2 linked regions of the Mytilus edulis genome follow. The protein of the gene in region 1 purifies or fractionates together with the protein of each later gene. This does not show direct contact. Links are inferred from orthologs where the notes say so. Each region holds a gene or a part of one and is shown on either strand. Other genes may lie near its edges. The genes, in order: synaptojanin-1-like and endophilin-A3-like.

Region 1 (11,288 bases):
TGCCTTAATCGGACTTTCATTTTCTATGTTTAGTGGACCGTGAATTTGGGGTCAAACCTCGAATTTGGCATTTAATATGAAAGATCATTCCATAAGGGACATGTGAACTAAGTTTCAAGTTGATAGGACTTCAACTTCATCAAAAAACTACCTTGACCAAAAACTTTAACCTGAAGCGGGACATGTGCAGACGGACGGTACGACAGATGAACGGACGAACAAACGAACGGACGCACAGACCAGAAAACATAATACCCATAAATGGGGCATATATTTTTTTGTCACTTACTATGATGGTGTTCGATAAGTTGACTTAATTTAGGTAATCATTTTTCACATTTTATGTATGTAAAAGTCAAGCCAGATTTATCACACAAACATTTATAGCAGTAATATAGGGTTATTGCATGAATATTGGGGAATATTGTCCCGAGTAGAATTTTATATTGCACGAGCTTGCGAGTGCAATATATGTTCTACGAGGGACAATATTCCCCAATATTCATGCAATAACCCTTTTATTGTATAGCAATATAATATTTGAATGTAAAAATCGGTTTAAACTAAGATTTAAACATTGATGACGTCATGAATTTGAAGATTTATTGCACTAGTGCAATATTAGAATTTATTGCACGCTAACTTTTGGTTACGTTCTGTGGGAAATATTATATTGCTATACAATAATAACTAATATGACAGACTGGTCGTGAAATATCAAAATATTAGTCAGAATCAATCATTTGTTATACAATTTATTCTTCACCAGAGTAAGATGTCGAGTTCGGTGAACAGACATGTGTGCTATCAGTGTATATAGTGATACGGGTTTAGGCATAGAAGGTTTTTAATGCTTGTTTGTTTTTTGCTGTTTCTTTTTAAAAACAAATGGTATTGTCACCTAAACATATGCCGTTTAAATATATATTTTTTTATTTAAAATTAAAATTCCGATGTCTTGCAATTTTTCAACAATTCATATGAATAGATTATTCATGCAATCGCTGGTGGACTTCGTAATACTGGTTTATAGGGTTATACTATACTGTTTTGTGTTGACAAATACTAAAAGTTTGTTCGAAAAAAATAAAGTCACAAAATTACAAAATGACGTAAAATACTAAGTTCTTCCATGACAATGCGTAAAGTATTAGTCAGCTGGTCTGTGGTCCTTTTCTGGGTAATTTTGAGTTCGGAACTAAACGACTTTAAACTCCTTGTTTGGATTTTGATATTTGGTCTCGACGCATTACTTGCAAGATATCAATGTTCGAAGTAGGTATAAATTGCATCAAAATGATTTCATTATCTTGCAATTTTCAAGTAATTGTCTATGTCCTTGTTTACATCTGTTAAAATTCAAGTGCCTATACTTGTGAATACGCGGCACAATAAAAAAATCTTGCCAACATTTTAAATTTAGTTCATACAAGTTCATCTGAGATAAAAAAAAAAAAAAAATAAAAAAAATCCTTAGTAAGAAGTAATTGTCAATATTGTTACCCATAACCAATGCATAAAACGCGACTTGATGTAGGTCAAAGAACAGTAAATGGGGCTATATAGGGAGTCAGCGAATCATGACTGGAGCGGGCCCCCTTCCCCTCCTTTTATGAACATTTCTGGATCCGCTACTGAGCAGTGACATAATTACTCCGTTTTGTGATTGAAATAGTGTAAGCCTTTGGAACATTATTACGGCCCCGCTTTTTTTTTTTTATTGGAATGCCGTTTGTAAGCATTCAATAATGCCCGCTATTAAACGGATTTTTTTTACAAAAAACTTTCAAATTTTACAGACGCAATAGACTATTACATATATACTATTTGGTAGATGGACATATACTCTGAAATTGCTAATCGATAAACTTAATATTTAATATATACTTCAAACATTTTCTTTTTACTAAAGTTTACAATAGCGTCAATCTTTATTTTGGACGTTGTTTTGCTTTTCCTCCGAAACACATTCTCTTAAGCATTGCACTGCAGGATTGCCCCTTCTGTTTCATTTTCTTTTGTATTTTGTCACTGTCGTTGTTAAAAGAAGTTTGACTTCCGGCTTCTTTTGTAAAATATGCATCATTTGATTGTGACGCAGAGTTTTTCAATTTCTGTTTATTTTTTTTACTTTCCATTTCGTCCTGGATTTCATACATTTTTGTCATCACTTTATTTGTAAGAGTTTCCAGGCTCTTAGCCTTTTTATGATTTAATTGACTTCGTTTTCTGTTTACTGCTGACATATCATAGACTTTATCGGGTATAAGAAAATCTTTGAATAAACATTTGGTGTAACTGTAGGGATCATCCTGGATATCTTGTAACGCTTCCTTCCAAATAACCCAATCTTTCCTCGCACTGCCCCAGATATCAGACAGCAAGAAGTGGCCTATTCGACCTGTCCGTGTATCAATGGTTAAAATTCTTTGTGAGCTATCTGTATTGATGTCTAGAAATCCATTAGGAACAACCCATTCTAATTCCATTCCATCAGTATCCAAATCAACATCTGCGTCATACTTGACGGAGGGGCATAGTACATAATCTGGGACGTTTTCAGAAGCAAGTATGAAAACATTTTCTGAAATAGCAAGAAACACTTGTCTGATTGGTTCTCCACATTTGTCTAACTCAATAAAAGCCCCTTCTGCAAGCAGAGTGTCTTTAAATTCTGAATATTCAGGTTGGAGGATCAACTTCTGTATCCGATTTCGTGCCATAAGTTTCATACTTCTTTACTAGAAAATATATGAAAATATAAAATTAAATTTCAAAAAGTGGAATCGTTTTAAAATTAGTTTAAAAATTTAAAAAAACATATAGGCATGCCTCTATATGTCTTCGATTCAAACGCAGAGACAAATGGTTTGTGCACAAATAATACAATTCAGAATGATATTCTCGAGACATGAGATCATATAATACAGGTAAAGACACTTATCACAATAAATTGTTTTGCCATTATATAAATAAGCATGGTTATTTAAGCATCTTCTTTCTCAATCCACATGTATTTCATTTAACAGATTTGTTTGGTAAATCACTGTAATTACTTGTAAACATTTACAGAAAATGGCAGACAAATAAAATGAGCAACACAAAACGTGACCCGGCAAAACCCTTTTAAGTTACAGCATTCATCCAGACAAGAAACCCAAGCTGGAAGTAATTTCCATTAAGAATCAAATCTTTTATTTTATTTTGCCCATAAGCTATCCAAAGTTGCAACCAAACTAAATGAGAAGTAAAGTTGGAATTTGCTACATAAAAACACAATTATCTAATCATTTTTCCGCTGGTAGCTTGAAAACATATAATAAAAAGGTAAAACAAAAAAGGTTTTAAAATGTAAGCATTCATCTCCATGATAAAAAGACTAATTATTCGAAGTCCGATTATTGGAAATCTTTTCTGGTGGGTAGGGTGAAAGACCTTTGTGATAATATTTGTTTTGTTTCCGTGTAAAAAGGACCTTAAAAGCCGTGTATTAAAATTTAACAGACCCTCTCCCTTTTATCACTGTACCATCTCACTTGTGTCTGTATATTCATACTTAAGATGTTATACTGTTTGATGGTATGTTGTATGAATAAAAAGCGGCAAGGTAAATAAACATAAAATTAATGAGACATCATTTTCAGAATGATCGACCGCGATCGATCTCAGCGTTTACACCGAAATTAGAAGGTACACTTTGTAAGTCCGATTTTCGAAGATCATTGTTTGTCATAACCATTAGACTAAAGATCGATCTTTTTTTTTTAAATCGATATCAGCAAAGACGGATATGATGTACAAGTATGTAACGGTCTTAGTTTATATATCTTATGGAGTAACCAAGCTATGAAATCAAAACTTACCTTAAATAATTACGATACCGTAAGTTATTTTAACCTACAGCTCTGTAAAAAAAAAAAACCCACCATGTAATAAGAATACAAGTTAAAAAAAACAAGCAAACAAGAATGAACATTTGATTATTAGAATGGTTAGGTGTTAAATATTCATTTCTGTGAAGTCTTAGATTCTAAGATTGACAATTAACATTATAGAAATTAGAAGATATGTTATGATTTCCAATAGGACCTTTATCCATCAGAGACCAAATGACGTAGATGTAAGAAACTAAAGGTCATGATACAATCTTCAACAATGAGTAAAACCGATACCATTTAGAAACATATGAAAACACTGATTTGAATATTTCATACGAGAAGCCAATGAATAAAGCAAAAAACTTAAAACAAATATGGTAGAAAGAAACCAACGTCAAGCATGTTTTCTATTTTCTTTAAGTCATATTGCTGTCTCTCTTTCTCGAATCATGAGGTTGTGCATGGGGTCCTTCATTTTCATATTCTTTAATTTCATTTGTTTTGCCCATATGTCTCTATTCTTTATATTTTTGGCCTATCATTCTCAATTCGTTAATATTTTAGCACACCATTATTTATTATTTGTCATTTTCTCTTTAATTTGTATTCTATCTTTGTTCTGTACTTTTGCCCATTATTCTCTATTCTGTAAACCCCATCCTGACTCTTTGATACAGTTTCCGATTGTCCTTTGATATCTTCTCCCCCTAATTTTGATTACTTTCTCCTCGCGGAACATTCTTTGTGAAATTTTTCTGATGTCTACAGTTGAGAGTCCCAATGAATTTTAAGTAAATTTAATTTAACTTTTCAACTACTTAAAGAATGTGATTACGTTAAATGAAACTTTATATTTTGATTTGGCCTATACAATCTAATTAAAAACCGATCTCTCATCGCTCCTGTTTCTGATATGTCGCGTACATATCAGAAACAGGAGCGATGAGAGATCGGTTTTTAATTAGATCAGAAACAGGAGCGATGAGAGATCGGTTTTTAATTAGATTGTGGCCTATACGGTATGGAACCCTTTAGAGTAAATAATTATCTATGCGCTTGCTCCCTTGGGCATACATTTTCACACAGAAGGAAAGCAATTCCCTTAAATTTTCGTTCTCAAAAATTTTACAATCCCAGTCTCTATAGCAAATGATCACAAACAATAGCATGATTTATTATTGAAGTAGTAAATAGTTACGTGAAATTCTTCCTTCAACCTGTATCCAACGTTCTCTTCATAGTCGCCAGGCATGAACACGTCACTATGTATGACGTTAAGTCTGAACAGGTAACGCTTTTCACGCCATACATATTTTATTTTATTTATTATTATTTGGGGAGGGTCATGATTTCTGTGTTTTCTTTAAAGTTTTAAGGCAGTTTTCTGTATCTTTGAAAAAAAGACTTCTTCTGTTAAATTCTCTTGTTCTATCCCTTACTGCAATTATGTATGATTTCGTTTTTTCTGCCTACATAGTTCGTTTCTGTAATCTGATTATCAGTAGTTTATTACACAATCCTTTTATTTTCCACAATGATTCTTTACATTTTGGGACCCCGATATTCTCTTTTCTTTAATGTTTTAACATTTTTATTTTTTATTAACTGGGTCAGTCATTTTTAAAATGTCACGAGCGATAGATTTTGGTCCGGCCGTTTGATGATTTTCTGCACAAGCCTGCAGCCAGGGAATATCAAATCCTCAGACTTCGTTATAATACTTGCTCTAATAAGACCCGGGATTTTGCCTAAACAATATACGCATAATAAAGATGTGAAATTCTTTGGCCAAAAACTAGAAATGGAAGCTTCAGATTTGTATTGAATTCAGTAAATTTTCGTGCCTGAGATTCTCATAATTTCAAATCATCATATAATTACTTTATTTAACCCAGTACCTTTTTTCCCAAAAAAACTAAACAACCACAAAAGACAAAAAAAAATAGTGTGATGAAAATTCATATAGTCTATTAGAAAGGAAGGTCAACGTTAATTTTAGTAATTGTAAAAAAAAAAGGCCAAACTAAAACAAACAAAAAGTAATTTGAGGTGGTTTTTTTTTTTACAATTTCGATTATTAAGTTAATAAATGAATAAAGTCAACCGTGTGTTTAATCTGTATGTAGAGGTCCTTTTTCATTACAATTATCTCAATTACTCAATTTTGCACGCCTGCGAACAGGAGTTGGGGTGTGTTGTCTAGGTTTTGGGTTTTAGCTTATATCTTCAAACCGGAAGTATAGCAGACGGAAATAAGGGAGACAACTTCTCAAAATAAGAAGATGGCGATGATTAAAAATTTCCGAGTTTTTCATAAGCTAGAGCCTCCCCCATATAGCATCATTCTTGAAAACAGAAATAATGAGGATACCTTGATGTTTGAATCTAACGCATTAGCTGTTTTATGTACGTGATATTTGAAACAGGACATGTAATAATGAGTAAACAACATATCCTGTTGTCACTTTCATAAAATCAATCTCATTATTTTACAAGTCCTGCTAGTCTGCTTTGAAAATTCCCCTAATTTTAGCCAATTTATCCTCTTTTTATGGCACAGAAACGGCTGATTAGGAGGTAACACATACGTTCCAGCTTCCTGAGGGTGCTTTGATTTCCTGCAATCATACTTTTTTAATTGTCCAAAAAGTTATGCAGTCTTGAAAGGGTAGATGATGAAAGTTTTTAACCACCTTGACTGACTATGCAGCCCTTGCATAGTCGGAGAAAGGCTTTGTAATTCTATTTTGCTTTTATGCCTTCTTGTGACATCAAAACACTTTTTTCTAAAAGAAAGTGTATATTTTATCGTCATGCACTCACAATTACTGTTAACATTATTTGGCAAGAATTTTTTGTGTTATACGTCATGAAGGTACCCCCATTACTACTCTCGGGTATCGGGTCCGTTAGCCCTTATGACATGTTCGCCCTTGGTCTGTTCCCCCTGAGTTTGTTCGCCCTCTGAAAAAAATTAATATTCAGGGCATTGAAGTTGAATAAACTTATTCAGATATATCTACGGTATATATTCTTGAAATTTATGGAAACATGGAAATACTTTTGATGGATTTATATTGAAAACAAACGTTTTGTTAAGATAAAATATTCAGCTTGAAATTAATAAAAACAACAATGTACGAACTGTCAATTATGAAACAAATTTACAATTTCATTTATTATTATACTCTGAGACTAGTCTCAGTTATACTGCATACATTAGTGATTGATTGAATACAATTATTTTGTTAACAAATATCAATGAAGATAAATGCATTGTATTGAACTATTCCAGTATTCTATTCTGCAAATCAAAGGGAAAATGATAAATTGATTACGAAAATATAATATTCTGTCAATTTTTCAACAAACTTTTACATATTTTGTTCAAATACTTAAAATTATGTGACAAGACAACAATTAGAAAAAAAATAAAAATCAGGGCAAACGGACCCAGATTCCTACCCTCATCCAAGCCATGTGGATAATATACTACTTGTTTAAAACATTTTAATAGCTATTTTCCCCATGATGCTTCACTTTTGATAGTATAAATTATTTTTTGGCATCAAACTCTGTAAATTTGACAGACCTGAATTTCTGGACCATTCGTTTTATATAAACTGGAAATATAGGTCTGTCAAATTTTACAGAGTTTGGTTTGGTCACACAAGAAAAAGAATGGTCAGTGAATATGATAGCAATCGTATAACCCTAAGCAATGTAAGAAAAGCTATCACTAAAGAAGCGAGAATTCTTGTAGTTGCTACTGCATTATTTCTGACCTCAGCTCTGACGTCCCTAAACGCACTAATGATGTTCACTAAAACCAAAGTTTTTGACGGAAATGCATCAAATTTGAAAGTTGTCTATTGCTTTGAAGTTGATAACCAGTGTAGAACTATCTGACTGTCTGACCAAAATGTTATGTCTTCTCTATGTAAAGCTGATTTAACGTGATCAGCTATTCATGCTCCAATCAATGTGACTATTAATTCCAGCTGTGGTAGTGTCAATTGTTTATGCAGTGCTACTCTATTTGCAATAACTTAGGATGACTCATGATGGTTACATATGTAAACAGTTGCTCCATATGCAGTTGTACTAGTGTCTACAAAAACAAAGTTTTTTTTCTGATTTGGTAAATTGGTAAAGAATGGTCTTTTTAATTCTGTATAAGTTGCTTTCTCCAATCCTTGGCTAAATGTTTTCATGTACTCTGTATTTCTAATGTTAGTGGCTCATCACATTCCTGCTTCTGTTCCCACAATGTCTGCATCAAAATATTTGCTTGTACGGATACAGGGCTATGTAATGATAAATCCTAGCGGATTGTAAATATGTGACGACTGTTTAAGAATTTCACGTTTCTTATTTTTGGTAGATCAATATAAAATAAGTTTACTGTCTAAATTAAACATATACTCATCCTAGTCTGTAAATTCTTGTTCAATGTGATCCTCGTGTAGGACTTCTATTACCTTCTCGTTCAAATCATGAAGAATCTTCTTTTTCTGGGTTACAGCATCCTCTATGGCTTTGAATTCCTCCTTTTCAACATTATCCGGATTTTCCTTTGGATCCTCGAATTTGGTCCAGAGCTTCGTCACTGCTGCTCTGTTTGCCAGCATGTATTGCCTTTAAATTCGTTTCCATTGTTGAACCAATTTTCCGTCAGTCACAGCACCATAAAAAGTTGTGTAAAGTAGAGTAAATGTGTTGTGTATACATGTAGATCTTGTTTATTTAACGTCTAGCCATTGCCATTTTCATTGGAAGAAGCAACATGTTATTTCCAGTTAATTTGTTGTGTTGGAGCTTTTGATTTTCCATTTGTTTAGAATTTTTCTCTTGAGTTCTATATTTTTGTTATTTTACTTTAATTACAACTGGACATGGAGAGAGAATTTTCAGCAAAACTTTTGTTGCATGCCATGATGACCATCATGTTTTCTATTAGTTTTATAACTACTGATGAAATTAACATTAAACTTTGTTTATTAAATAGCTGCTGCTGAAACAGAAGCCATTAAAAAGCAGTATGTGAAGATATTGGATGCATATGGATGCTTGGGTGTTCTAAACTTCAATCTAGGTAAATAAATGGTTTACACATGTATGTAAGACTGTTAGTACTGGGGATGGCATTAAATAGAATTACCATTTCTGTCTTGTCAAGAACAGTTGAATGGTTTAAAGAACTAAAATTTTATCTGCAAAGTCAAAATCAAGAATTTATATCAACTATGTTTACACTGTGTCGACATACAATTGTATATACAAAGTTATATACAGCTCAGAACTTTAGAAAGACTTCATGGATGATAATGATACTAGTATTTTTGTTGTCCTTCACAAGACACGCCAAAGTATGTGTCATCAATATACATGATATATATAGAATTTCTGCAAGGTCGTATAAAATTTACTTCTCATATCCAAACATAAACTGTTGACTAGGATTCAAAAACTTATGAATGCAGTGATAGCTGCCAACTCCATAGTAATTAATTATTATAGATTAAGAATACAAAAACAATTTCTGTAAGGTAGATCATGTATTGAGGCATGTTTGAATGTGAGATTTTGCTTTGGTAAGATTTAGATTTTTGTAAGAGACAATACAAGTTAAATTACTTTGCCGCCACATTTTTTCTAAATGCTTGTATACAAATTTTGGCAAAAATCCCCAAACAACACAATTTTTAGCTGGCCCCATGTGAGCTTATGCCATCACTTGGCATCCGTCGTCGTTTTCTGTTGTCGTAAACTATTTAAAAAAACTTTACCTCTAAAACTACTGGGCCAAATACCTTCAAACTTTAAATGTTCCTTAGGGTGTCTAGTTTATAAATTGATTTTGGAGTTTTGATCCAATGACAAACATGGCCATCATTGCTAAAAATAGAGCATAGGGGTCAAATGCAGTTTTTGGCTTATATCTCCAAAACTGAAGCTTTAAGAGAAAATCTGACAGTTGGTAAAATTGTTCAATTGGTCAAGATCTATCAGCCATGAAATTTTCAGATGAATCAAACAACCCATTGATGGGTTGCTGCCATTAAATTGGTCGTTTTAAGGAAATTTTGCATATTTTTTTTATATTATCTTGAATATGATTATAGATAGATATAAACTGTAAACAGCAATAATGTTCAGCAAAGTAATCTACAAAAAAGTTAATGAGACCATAATTGTCAATTGACCGCTTGGAGTTATTGCCCTTTAAAGACAATTTTACACAATTTGTTCATCAAGTTTGGTAATATTTAAAAATCTTCTCCTCTGAAATACAGGTGAGGGATTCAGGCTCTTGAGAGCATCTTGTTTCTTAATCCATGAAAAACTGATATTCACAAAAAATAAAGAATCGACAGTATGTTGATTACTAATACTGATTTATTAATTTGTTTTATTTTTCAGGACAAGAATGTGTATCATATTTGGTTTTAGTGACTGGTTGTTTATCTGTCGGTAAAATTGGAGAATCTGACATTTTCAAAATCACTACAACTCAGTTTGTGTCTTTACGAAATAATCCAGGTGATGAGGAGAGGATACAGGAAATTAAAAAGCTGATGAACTCTGGGACATTTTACTTTTCATGGTCAAACTCTGGTATACCATGGGACCTTACACTCTGTGCTCAAAGAAAATTACAAGAACATGAAACCGATAACAGATTCTTTTGGTAAATTAAACATCGTTAAATAAAGAAATTATCTTGTCAAAACTGATATAGGTTTGATATATTATGAGATGACATCTCAAAAATTATATAATAGGAAATGATTTTCTCTTATGATTGTGACCTGTTATCAATCTCTTGCATGAATAGAAATCTCTCGTATCACACTGCATGGAGTGTGATATGAAAAAGTGATATGAAAATCTGCATTTATTTGATTGTTTTATCCAGCATCACAAGACAATATTATGACATTTTCATTGGTTATTCCTTAATATACAAAACACTCACACATTTCACCTGACAATCTTCTTTTTGTCAAATTTTAATACATTCTGAAGCGTACAAAAAGTCTTAAAATGTCTGATATTAAAGTTAGACACTGTAAAAGGACATTTGACCTCATACTGTATTAAATGGTAAAAGCCTAGATCAACATTTCTCAGATTTTGAATTTTACACATTGAGAGTGTTGACCATAAGAAAAATAGGTTTAACGACTTGTAAAAATTGGATATCAACTCTAGTTATTTAAGTTAAATAGAAATAATAAACAAGCCAAAGTCTTGTTTATTATTACATTTGTATATTGAAATTGAATAACTCTAATTGATATCAAGCTATATCTGATTCTTAATCATTATGAAACCTATAAGTATATAAAAAAAAGAAGATGTGGCATGATTGCCAATGAGACAACTTTCCACAAGAGACCAAAATAA
Region 2 (11,734 bases), on another chromosome or scaffold:
TCCTTTGCACAAAATGCTATGAAACACATAAGATCAGGAAATGTTAATGATTAAAATATATATATAATTTTTTTTAATATTATGACATCAACGCAGTCTGCACCAAAAACTTTTTCAACTACTAGTCCGAAGACCAAATTTGACTAGTCTGGGGCATCGGCTAACCATGCAGACTTTCAACGAAGACATTTTATGTGCCTTTTTTCTTAAAACTTGTTTCACATCAATATCACCTCTGAAGAAAATATGTATGCAGCCAAGAAAAAAAAATATTTCAGAATGGCTCTAATAGATTTCAAATATCTCACCTAATAAAAAGTTGTTCATTCGGCGTGCATATATCTTTCCTTTCTAGAATATACTTTTTGTGAAGGGAATAAAACATTTCCCAGAATAAGTTAGTCTTTATCTGGTTATTTAAATTGTTGCAAAGTTAATTTTCTCATTGAATAGAGACATTGAACAGCTCTTTATTTTATAAGAACTTTATTTTTTTATTAAACCAAAAATTCATTAACATGACTTCAAAAAATTAAACTCCTAGTGATGAAAATACATATACCATACTAGAAGAACACAGCAAATTATACCTTACTTAACTTGAACTGACAAATATTCATAAAACATTTCACGGGACCATCGAAAAGTGAAATAAAGGGCATGGGAATCATTATCCTCTTCTAATTTGATACATCAGCAAAACACCATTTATATTGATTGCAAAACACATTTTCTATTTGAGACTAACCAATTTCTCAACAATCTTGGAACCCAAAAAGTATGAAATATTTGCCACTAAATGTAAAGCAATCAATCACATATCACTTAGACATACAATAGAGTTTATACTAAACAGGAGTTATATTTTAGTATTCTTATTTGATACCTGGTCAATGAGACATTTATCGAGAAAATTCTTTTGTTCCTCACTAATGTACTGTCTACATTCTGGTGCTAGTTTAGTGTTCTCCTTCACTTGGAATGGCATAAAAAGACCTGAGGGTTCTACAGTTGCCTGAAACAAACACAAAATCATATTGATTAGAAATATGTTTTTTATTTCTTGAACATGTTTGACAAGCAAAAAGACCTGATGGTTCTACAGTTGCCTGAAACAAACACAAAATTATATTGATTTGAAATATGTTTTTTATTTCTTGAACATGTTTGACAAGCAAAAAAACCTGAGGGTTCTACAGTTGCCTGAAACAAACACAAAATTATATTGATTAGAAATATGTTTTTTATTTCTTGAACATGTTTGACAAGCAAAAAAACCTGATGGTTCTACAGTTGCCTGAAACAAACACAAAATCATATTGATTAGAAATATGTTTTTTATTTCTTGAACATGTTTGACAAGCAAAAAGACCTGAGGGTTCTACAATAATACATATACAGTTCATAAAAAAAAAAGTTATTTTACAGTTGCTTGAATAATATCCTCAAAAAAGTGATAACACCCACTTTTTGAGTAGTTGGACATTAAAATAGTATCTAAATCAATGCAACCATACTTTATAATTTAAAATAAACAACACTTTCAAACTAATTTTCAATATGAATAAAACAATAATTTCCTTAGAGGTTTACCTTAGAAGATTTTGGTGAAGTACTAGTCTTGATAAAGAAACTCTGGAATGCATCTTTAACTTTCTTCTCTTTTTTTATCTGAAATGAAGAAAAGGACATTTCTAACTTGTAAACAAATCAAAAACACATATAAATCTAGGTGTCTTCCTATTGTTCTTTTGAGAATAGTATATTTTTAGTTTTGGTCGATAAAAGCTTCAAAATTGACAAATGAAAACTGTCTTTATGGAGCTATGTAGGTTTTTTTTATTATTTGGTCTAATTGTTCTATTCAAATCAGTGAACTTCTGCAAATAGATATATAGCAAATCTGAAATTGGCAAAAATAAACTATGCTGAGAACTGGAAATTTTTAGGTGGACACTTCCGGCAACTGTATTTAGGAAATCGGTCATTTGAAAAATCAAGTAAATTTTACTCTTAACATGAAGATTCTAAACACAACACTGTGATGTCAATTTTGATAGTTCTATTGCAGTTATCCTTTTACGACCTCATTTTCAAACAAAAAACTTGGTATTAAAATAGATGCATTTCATGTATTATTTCATGTTATAGTATTTTTACTTTTTCTTCGTTTTCTTTTTGTTTTTCTTCTTCCTTTAATCTTTTCTCTTCATCTTTCTTCTTTTTTTCTTCATTCTTTGCTCTGAAAATATGACTAATTGATATAAGTTCATTTTCACCCTAACATATGTATCGTTGTAATTAAAGTTTTCATAATATATCTTTTTGTTTTAATGCAATTTTTTTTTGAGTACACGTTCAAATGTCTTGACTGTTTTGATTAAACAATATTTTGCATAAAGTTCTTGAAACTGGTACAACAGAAACTCGACTTTATCAATCATCTATGAAAATAAGGTCTAATTCTAGGACATGTTCATCCTACAAACATACTATACACTCAATATAGTTTACCCATTGCTTAAAGTATCCAAGAAGCAGATTTAACCTGGAAAACTTAACAGGTATTTCCCTTGAACAATGATTGTTTCCCCTTAATTCCAAATTCAAATTTGAACAGTAACCCTTAATTTGTATTGGCTGGCAATTATGGTCACAATTGACTTTTTTGTAAATTCATATTAAATGTTTTAGTTTATATCTTACTCTTGCTCTTCACGCTTCTTTTTCAACTCATCTTCCTTTTGTTGCAGCTTCTCTAATCTTTCTTTTTCTTTTTTCTCCTAAACAAGTGATAAAAATGTCATTAATCATAAAAATCATATTTTAAAACAGAAATGATGTTTGCGAGTCTAAATTGATGCCCAATTAAAAATTATATCATCTCTAAACTGCAAAAAAATAGAGTACTTAACTTTCTATAACATAATAACATGTAAAAAAGAAATGTACTAATATCTTTTAACTTGAAATCATAATCACTTTTTCCTCTTTCTTTTGTTTGTCCTTTTCAGATTTGGCAGCTTCTCTTTCCAGTCTTTGTTTCTCTTTCTCCTTTTCCTTTTCAACTCTCTCCTGTTCTTTTTGTTTCTTTTTTTCTTCAAAGGCCTTTAATTTTTCTTCCTTGAGTTTCTGTCTTTGCGCTTCCCTGTCTTTCATTTTTGCCTCTGAAAGCTGGGATCAACCAAGTTTTCAAATTAAAATGTTGAATATTTTTTAGCAAGAGAAATCATTGAAAACGTTTCCTATAAATACAAGTTTTGTGTACATTTCGATGGATATATAAAATTCATTGGAAATTTTTCTTTTCTTTTGAGTAACAAATGTAGATCTAGTAAACTATCAAAACTTTCTATACTGACAATTTGCAGCATGATCAAATGTACATCTTCTTATTTTTATATGTATTACTGTATAAAGGTTCACATATTACCTTAGATCTTGGTTTTTTGCCGGATTTAGGAGTTCCATCACTTAAACTGTCCCCTGGGCTTTGTGATAAAGGCGTGGTTCCTGACTGTGGACTTATTTTTGTTGAAACTGGAGTTTTAAATACTGCGGAAGGTACACTGCCCTTACCAGGAGTAACTGGGTCAATAGCACTGTTGTTCATATCTGATAAACTAGTTGATTCATCTGAAACATCCATATTTTCTTTGTCTGCAGAAACATCTAAAATTTCCCCTTTTTTTGAGCTTCCCAAGTTTTCCTTATTTTCACATGTTTCTGATGAATTTTCTACAGGAATAAGACCTTTACTGACTGCTTCAATGATTTGAATATAATTTTCTACTTTCTGAGTCTCATTGGTCGAGTTCTCTTCTTTTGATTTGACAGTTTTTGAAGATTCTTTTACACTGAAGAACTCTTTTATTTTTTTTGATTGACAGGTATTTGTGTCAACAAAAGATACATCAGATTCCTTGCCATCATCTGAATCGGTTATATCAATACATTCAATGTTTGTTGACGAGGTAATTTCTTCCTGAGAATTTTTACGTACAAATCTTTCCAATGTATTACGAACCCGTATCTTAACATTATCTGCCTCAGAACTAGAGCTAACTTCTGCTTCACCGCTAGTAATTGGCGCATTACCAGATCCACATGGTGTTCCTGATTTGGGAGTTTTGGGAGCTTTAGCACTAGGTGATTCTGCATCAGATAGTTTTCTTTTCTTTGAAGCAGCAGTTGACTTTGGAGAGACTAGCTGTGCTTTATGCTCAATTGTTTTAAATGGTAATCTAGCTGTAAAAAATACAAATTTAAATGTTACCTTATTAACAAAAAACTTCATTATTTTTTTTAATGTAAAGTCAGCATTCATTAAAATATTACACATGTTACATGTAAGCTCTCAAAAAGATTGGCACAGTGACACAAGTAGGTATATATATTCAGAAAGATTAGCACATATGTAGGTATATATATATTCAGAAAGACTTACAGTAGATGAAGTAAAGAATCGTTGTTGAACACACCTTGTCCTAGTTTTTTCAGACAGACTAATTGTAGATGAAGAAAAGAATGATAATCAAATATACCTTGTCTAAGTTTTTTCGATGGTGTACATCCATCATCATCATCTGCAGAAGGACCTGAAAAGAAAAAGATTTTTTTTATTTCAAAATATATTCAAATTATTACATTGGTTGCAATGATTTACATTGATTTCCCAGTCAAATAAAAACCGATAATTTTACATGTGAAATAAACGTGGTTATTTCACTCTCTGACGTCATACTTTATAAAGCATAAAAATGTCAGTATTCACCTCAGAAACTAACAAAACCTTTAAATAGACTTAAGAAGGGATATAGTTACGATACTGTTGTCAGGTCATTAAAGATTGCATATTTTGGCGTTAATATTGATTCACTTATAGGGTCTTTGTATCGGAACTAAACACATTTATTCAAAAACCAGTTGTTGGCATGACACGGGTTATGTTCTTCTCATATATGTTTTGATGGTACATGTATGACACTAAACCCCTAACGGGAAGGATTTTGTCTGATATTCATATGATGAAATCATAATTTTTCAATCAGTTTAATTGAAGTTTGGAGCTGGTATGTCAGTTAACTGCTAGTAGTCTGTTGTTATTTATGTATTATTGTCATTTTATTTATTTTCTTTGGTTACATCTTCTGACATCAGACTTGGACTTCTCTTGAACTGAATTTTAAATGTGCGTATTTTACTTTTCTACATTGGCTAGAGGTATAGGGGAGGATTGAGATCTCATAAACATGTTTAACCCCGCCGCATTTTTGCGCCTGTCCCAAGTCAGGAGCCTCTGGCCTTTGTAAGTCTTGTATTATTTTAATTTAGTTTCTTGTGTACATTTGGAAATTAGTATGGCGTTCATTATCACTGAACTAGTATATATTTGTTAAGGGGCCAGCTGAAGGACGCCCAGGTGCAGGAATTTCTCGTTGGATTGAAGACCTGTTTTTGACATATTCCCCATTTCCATTCTCAATTTTGTGAGATTGCTGTTCGGGTTGAGCCAAGGCTCTGTCTTGAAGGCTGTACTTTGACCTATAATTATTGACATTAAATACAATGTGACTGCGGATTTTTTTCTTTATAAAATCAGTGGATGTAAAAATTACCCGTTTTCCTTCGATTTCCTTACTTTAAGAATCATCAGTATTGCTGGATCATGGAAGCAATTTTTATGCAAACAATTATTATCTGTATTTAAAGATATTTTGTAAGAAATCAAATTGGTAAGTTAAAAAAACATATAAAGCAAGATCATAGATCGCAAGATTTTTTTTTTTTATCGAGGACCTTGAATTTCAATTTTGTTGTAAGCTGAACAGACATATATAAACTACAACCAGGGACTTTCTATACTAGTATATACTTAGTATAGAAAGTCCCTGCTACAACGAATGGGAATGTTTAACTAAGTACATTTGTAACAAAGGCATTGACCATAATGTTCTAGTATGATCGGGAGATGTTAAAAAAATGATTCAACAGCTGATTCAGCAGGCAACGAATTTCCGATATCATAAAAGAATCACAATACAAAGGGAACTTCCTCTGCTTAATTGAGCCACTAAATAAGTGTGAATAGTTAGGTTTTATTCAAAATTGTCGAAAGCAAAGTTTCATGTGTTCTCATACGAATACTGAATAACTGACGGACAGCCAGACGAAAAAAAAATTAAAAAATACTGAAACGGTTCACTATAGATAAAAAATCCAGACAATGACAGATATATCATGTATCATAACACTCTTAAAACTGTAAGCTTGTGTTTATGATATAAATTCAAGTTCTTCTTGTACATATTGTCAATATTTCATTTTATTACTTTGAAAAAAAAAACGGTGCAGAAAATTCAGGGGAGGCACTGCCTCCCATGCCTCATAGGTAGTTACGGCCCTGTTTGAAGAAAGTGACGTCACAATAGGAAAGTTCAGAAGAAACCAAGAAAATTTAACGTCACAATTAAAATTCAACCAATCATTTGCCGAGAACAGATTTTTCCCTAGTGAGGAGAAATGTTTTTCCCACACCAGTCAGGAAATGTGAAAATAGCCAAATAATTAGAGAAATGAAATTATCAGTCGGCAAGATCAAAGAAAAAATTCGTAAAAATAGCGATAATTTAAGAATATTGTGCTAAGGGCAAAACCATTCTGCATACAAATTTATTTGAGAAGTAGGGAGGATATGCTGTAATATATTTTTATTTACAGTACGTATCACATCAGTTTTTTTTAATGGTAAACAAACTTTATTTTTTTAAATGTTCTTTTTCACCGTAAGAATATTGGTAACTTACCATTGCTAACATTTTGCACACACTCAACTTGTGCCATTGTCTTTTGATTATGATAAATGAAAGAATTTCCTCAAATGTAGAGTGGTTTTCTTAATCTTTTTTTAGAACGGCTAAATGACAATCAAACTTGGCGGGAATGTGTACCCGCTTCAGTCCGCATAGAATATTTTTCAATGAAATTGCAAATTAATAAATTTTATTTCACAGTTCATTATCAAACAACATGAGCTGACTTCAAACTTTATAAAATATTGTTAAAGACAAGGAAAAATTAATGTAAAATTAGTTATGTGGATATTCACTGCGAAGTTCAAGCATCTAACGTCAAGACTTCCGGATGGGAGTAAACATAACTAATTTTAGATTTGTTATTTTTAAGTGAAACAAAACATTACCAAAGATGTCGTTCGCAGGATTAAAAAAACAGTTCAACAAAGCAAATCAGGTATATCTAGAAGTTTATAAACAAAGTCTTACCGACGACTTACAGGATAACAAATGTCAATATTTAAAGAATATTTTCCACCAAAACGATTATACTTATAATTTAAGATAGTATATATTTCGAAATACATCAGTCATTCAGGTTCATTATAACAAATGGACAAAAATGGCTTGTAATACTCTGAGTATAGAAAATCTGTGCAGGTGGAAAAGTTGTAACGTCAACAAATAAAACTACTGTAAAATCAGTTTAAAAGTTAAATGCTTTTTGAGATTTTTGAAAGATAAAATCTTTTTGGATTATGTTTTTATGTGTTGACATGAAGAAAAATTTAGTGACAAGCACATTTTGTATTTACATATCATCTAAACAATAAATTAATAGAAAAGTCAATTAATTACAGCTGATTATTTGCTGTGTAATAAAGTTTCAAATTTTGTTTTATATAATCATGATAATATGAGGCAGGCATTACCTGTAAATGGGGACGAGGTCTGTATGAATTATTTTTTTGAAACATAAATATTTGTCAAAAGAAAAGAAACAGAAATACCGTAACGTTTTGATTTTGGTTCTATTGTTAGGGATTTTAGTTGTGATGTTACTTAAGTTATGACATCATATGCAATGTAAACAAAGAAACGCTATCATCAGGTAATATTTTTTCATATCAAGGAATTATTAAAAATGAAATTGATATTGCGTTTCTTCCTATTATATGAGTTTGAAATAAACATGAAAGTCATATTAAATGGCTTTGCACCTGTCCTAAGTCAGGAATCTGATGTACAGTAGTTGTCGTTTGTTTATGTAATATATACGTGTTTCTCGTTTCTCGTTTTGTTTATATAGATTAGACTGTTGGTTTTCCCGTTTGAATGGTTTTACACTAGTAATTTTGGGGCCCTTTATAGCTTGTTGTTCGGTGTGAGCCAAGGCTCCGTGTTGAAGGCCGTACTTTAACCTATAATGGTTTACTTTTTAAATTGTTATTTGTATGGAGAGTTGTCTCATTGGCACTCACACCACATCTTCCTATATCTATAAAGTGTCATTACATTGAATATGTATATATGTACTGATAAGTGATTGCTTAAGTGTCTGCCAGAATAGTGTTGATTTTGAGATAATGCTCAAGAGGAGCCCGGCACAGTATAGATGAAGAAGAACAGCTTCAAAAGTTAATGCATCATGTCTTTACTTTAGGACAAAACAAGGCTAAGCAGCCGATGACTAATAAAGCATTTCTTTTACTAAAGAATATCTTGGGCTATCAAGCATTAAAATATATTTTCTAAAAAACAGTACATACTTTTTTCAAGTACCACATTACAGGGTATGATTGGAAATAATCCAACATGATTCATAACAAAATTCTTATTTTAATATTTGTTTTCAAACATACTATATTTGGCTGTGTCATAGACCTGGTACAGGTTATCCTTAATATCTTTTTTCAGTCATTTATATTGTTATATTGGAGCTTTTTATGCTTTCTTTGCAGTATATGAGTGAAAAGATAGGTGGTGCTAAAGGTACAGAGCTAGATGATGACTTTATTGAAATGGAAAGAGTGAGTAATTTGTAAATTTATGTGCAATTGTGGTTACTACAGGATTTAACACCTAAATAAAAGTATCAACAATCATTTTACATAGAAAATCATCGCTGTATCACAGTATGTTTACATTTTTAGATCTATTTGGTGCATGCATATTTATTGTTTTTAAACTCAAATTATATAATAAATTATAATAAGCACTGCAGTTTGTATAGGTACATACCTACCAACTTTTTCAAAATGCACATGGTGGTTTTGCGTGCAAGATGGCTGCCATAGTCCTAAAATACCTTCAAGGGGGCTTTCAAATACATTTTAATGTTGTTTTTTGGCTTCGTCATGCTTTTACAAGACTAGAGTCATTGTAAAATTAACTGTTTAAAATTGTGGACAAAATTGCTCTTTCAAAATTTCAATTTGGGAGCCTTCATGGGGGAAATCCCCCGCAAATAGTGACAGTTGGCAGGTATGATAGGTACAAACTCACTTGTTCATCAAAGATTGTAATGACTGTCCTTAAACGCAACGTGGTAGCATGTTTGTCAGTAGTATGGGATGTCTTGGGTAAGATCCTTTCCGGTTGGTCACTTCAAACTGAATACTTTAAAATTTGCTGCTTCGCTGTTATCACACTTAATTAAAAAGACAGGTCAGCTTAAAGACAGATAAATGTGTCTTGGTAGAGGTGACACGTCTTCCTGCCTTACCTTGTGAACTAGAGTGTTATAAAACCAAACTGTGTGTGTCCTTCAAGAACAAAGCAATATCATTCATATCATATCATTCTCATGTTCTTACCCTAAATATGCATTAAGATTGTATCTTGGAGTAAACAGCTATACATCATCATCTGACAGCAGTCTTAAACACATATTTTGCATTAAAAAAAACTTTTTACAACAAAAAAGTAAAAAAATAGCTTTTGATGAATATTTTATTTTCTTAAGAAAACTGATGTCATGGGAAAATGTGTGGATGACTTGATAGGAAAAACAGAAGAATTTTTGCAGCCTAACCCAGGTAAAGTGAATTCATATTGAATATTTTAATATATCAAACAATGTCTAAAGCATTGTCATCAGGTTACTGCATGGGAATTTTTGATTGAACAAAATTGGAAATGAATGTTATCATATCATAAAGGTAATAATGTAACTATGATTTGGTTGATAAATGATGGAGGTGTATACCGGTATGTAAGTTATAAAGGCGTAGTCCAGTAAGGGCCGATTTAGGCCTCAAATTTCAGGTCATCTGACAAAAGATTTTGGACACTTTTTAAACACTTATTTGTCTATATCAGTTGATTCAATTAATTAATGTGAAAGATTTTGACTGATTTAGTCATAAAAACGCTCCGATTCAAGCTTAAATATGAAAAATCTAACAAATATGCCAAAAAACGTCACTTTTCAGATGGTTTTTGTCAAAAATGAAAGTGACGGCATCTGTGTTCATCCTTAACCTTTATATATGTTGTGTATTATTATTAACTACAACTTACATTTCAATATTAGGAATGAATACAAATACCGCCACTTTCATTTAAGACTGAAACTCTTAAATTTTAACTAAAATGCTGAAATTGTAAAGATTTCAGTAATTTAGCATGATTTAATGATGCTATTACCCAATATATGTGCATTGTATTGTCAAAAACAGCCCATACTTATGTAGCAGAAGCATTCTCCTTTCCAATAGATAACTTAAAGTTTACATTTCAACAATTTTGTAAAACTGCTATATTTTGGGGGCAAAAAGGGGTCTTACTGAACCTACTCCTTTTGATTTAAAGTATAACATATACAAAACTGTAGAGGTATCAGATTGGTGTTTTATCAGAATATGATATGGGCCCATGGCCATCATGTCTGTATCAAGTGTAAAATTATTGGAGATTTTATATGAAAACATTTAATTTTACATTAATACGTTGCAAATTAATGTAATTACATGTAAAAGAGGGACGAAAGATACCAAAGGGACAGTCAAACTCATAAATCTAAAACAAACTGACAACGCCATGGCTAAAAATGAAAAAGACAAACAGAAAAACAATAGTACACATGACACAACATAGAAAACTAAAGAATAAAACAACACGAACCCCACCAAAAACTAGGGGTGATCTCAGGTGCTCCGGAAGGATAAGCAGATCACCAGGATATGTTTTTCCTCTGGCAGTCAGTAGGGTTATGCATAAATGATCAGATACTGCTGCTGTTTTAATTGGAAAATAGATATAATGAATCAAAAAGGTCTTAACAATCATTTTAGATAAGGAAGTCTCTGTATCCTTTGATATTGAACAATATAGCTACCTTTCCTGAAAGATATAAGAAGATGTGGTATGAGTGCCAATGAGACAACTCTACATCAAAGTCACAATTAATTAAAGTAAACCAAGGTATAGTCTTCAACACAGAGACTTGTCTCACACCAAACAGCAAGCTATGAAGAGCCCCAAAAAATTTCTAGTGTAAACCATTCAAACAGTAAAACCAACAGTCTTATCCTTTAAAAAAAACGAGAAACACTCATGAACCACATCAACAAACGACAAATTTTGAACATCAGATTCCTGACTTGGGACAGGTGCAAACAACTGTAGAAGGTTTGAACGTTTCAATCGTACCAAACCTTCACCCTTATCTGCAACAAAAGTGTAACATCACAAAAAAGAAAGACTTCACATGCTTTTACTTTATGTATTGTTGTTATACTATCCTATAATAGTATTTGTTTTCTGTATTATTTCAGCCTCCAGAGCAAAATTACGAACAGTTAACACAATATCAAAAATGAGGGGTCAAGCAAAAACAGGCGCCTACCCACAACCAGAGGGTACACTGGGTGAACACATGTGTAAGCATGGGAAAGACTTAGGAGAAGATTCAAATTTTGGTAAGTTCTCTTTTAACT

The links.
Region 2: the proteins of synaptojanin-1-like (region 1) and endophilin-A3-like purify together in Drosophila melanogaster (affinity purification with western blotting; 3 studies listed by BioGRID). This does not show direct contact. The link is inferred for Mytilus edulis from reciprocal best matches to the Drosophila melanogaster genes Synj and EndoA.

The regions. Positions count from the first base shown.
Region 1 is NC_092350.1:30,236,610-30,247,897, reverse strand, and holds the start of synaptojanin-1-like, read left to right. Parts: upstream 1-6,131; 5' UTR 6,132-6,160; coding exon 6,161-6,284; intron 6,285-8,886; coding exon 8,887-8,973; intron 8,974-10,301; coding exon 10,302-10,569; intron 10,570-11,288.
Region 2 is NC_092347.1:85,317,426-85,329,159, forward strand, and holds the start of endophilin-A3-like, read left to right. Parts: upstream 1-7,098; 5' UTR 7,099-7,206; coding exon 7,207-7,251; intron 7,252-8,755; coding exon 8,756-8,824; intron 8,825-9,759; coding exon 9,760-9,832; intron 9,833-11,572; coding exon 11,573-11,716; intron 11,717-11,734. Other genes in the region: chromatin assembly factor 1 subunit A-like, read right to left, coding at 887-1,015, 1,594-1,671, 2,161-2,242, 2,707-2,783, 2,983-3,174, 3,434-4,248, 4,545-4,598, 6,807-6,843. UniProt on the Drosophila melanogaster protein: Required presynaptically at the neuromuscular junction. Implicated in synaptic vesicle endocytosis.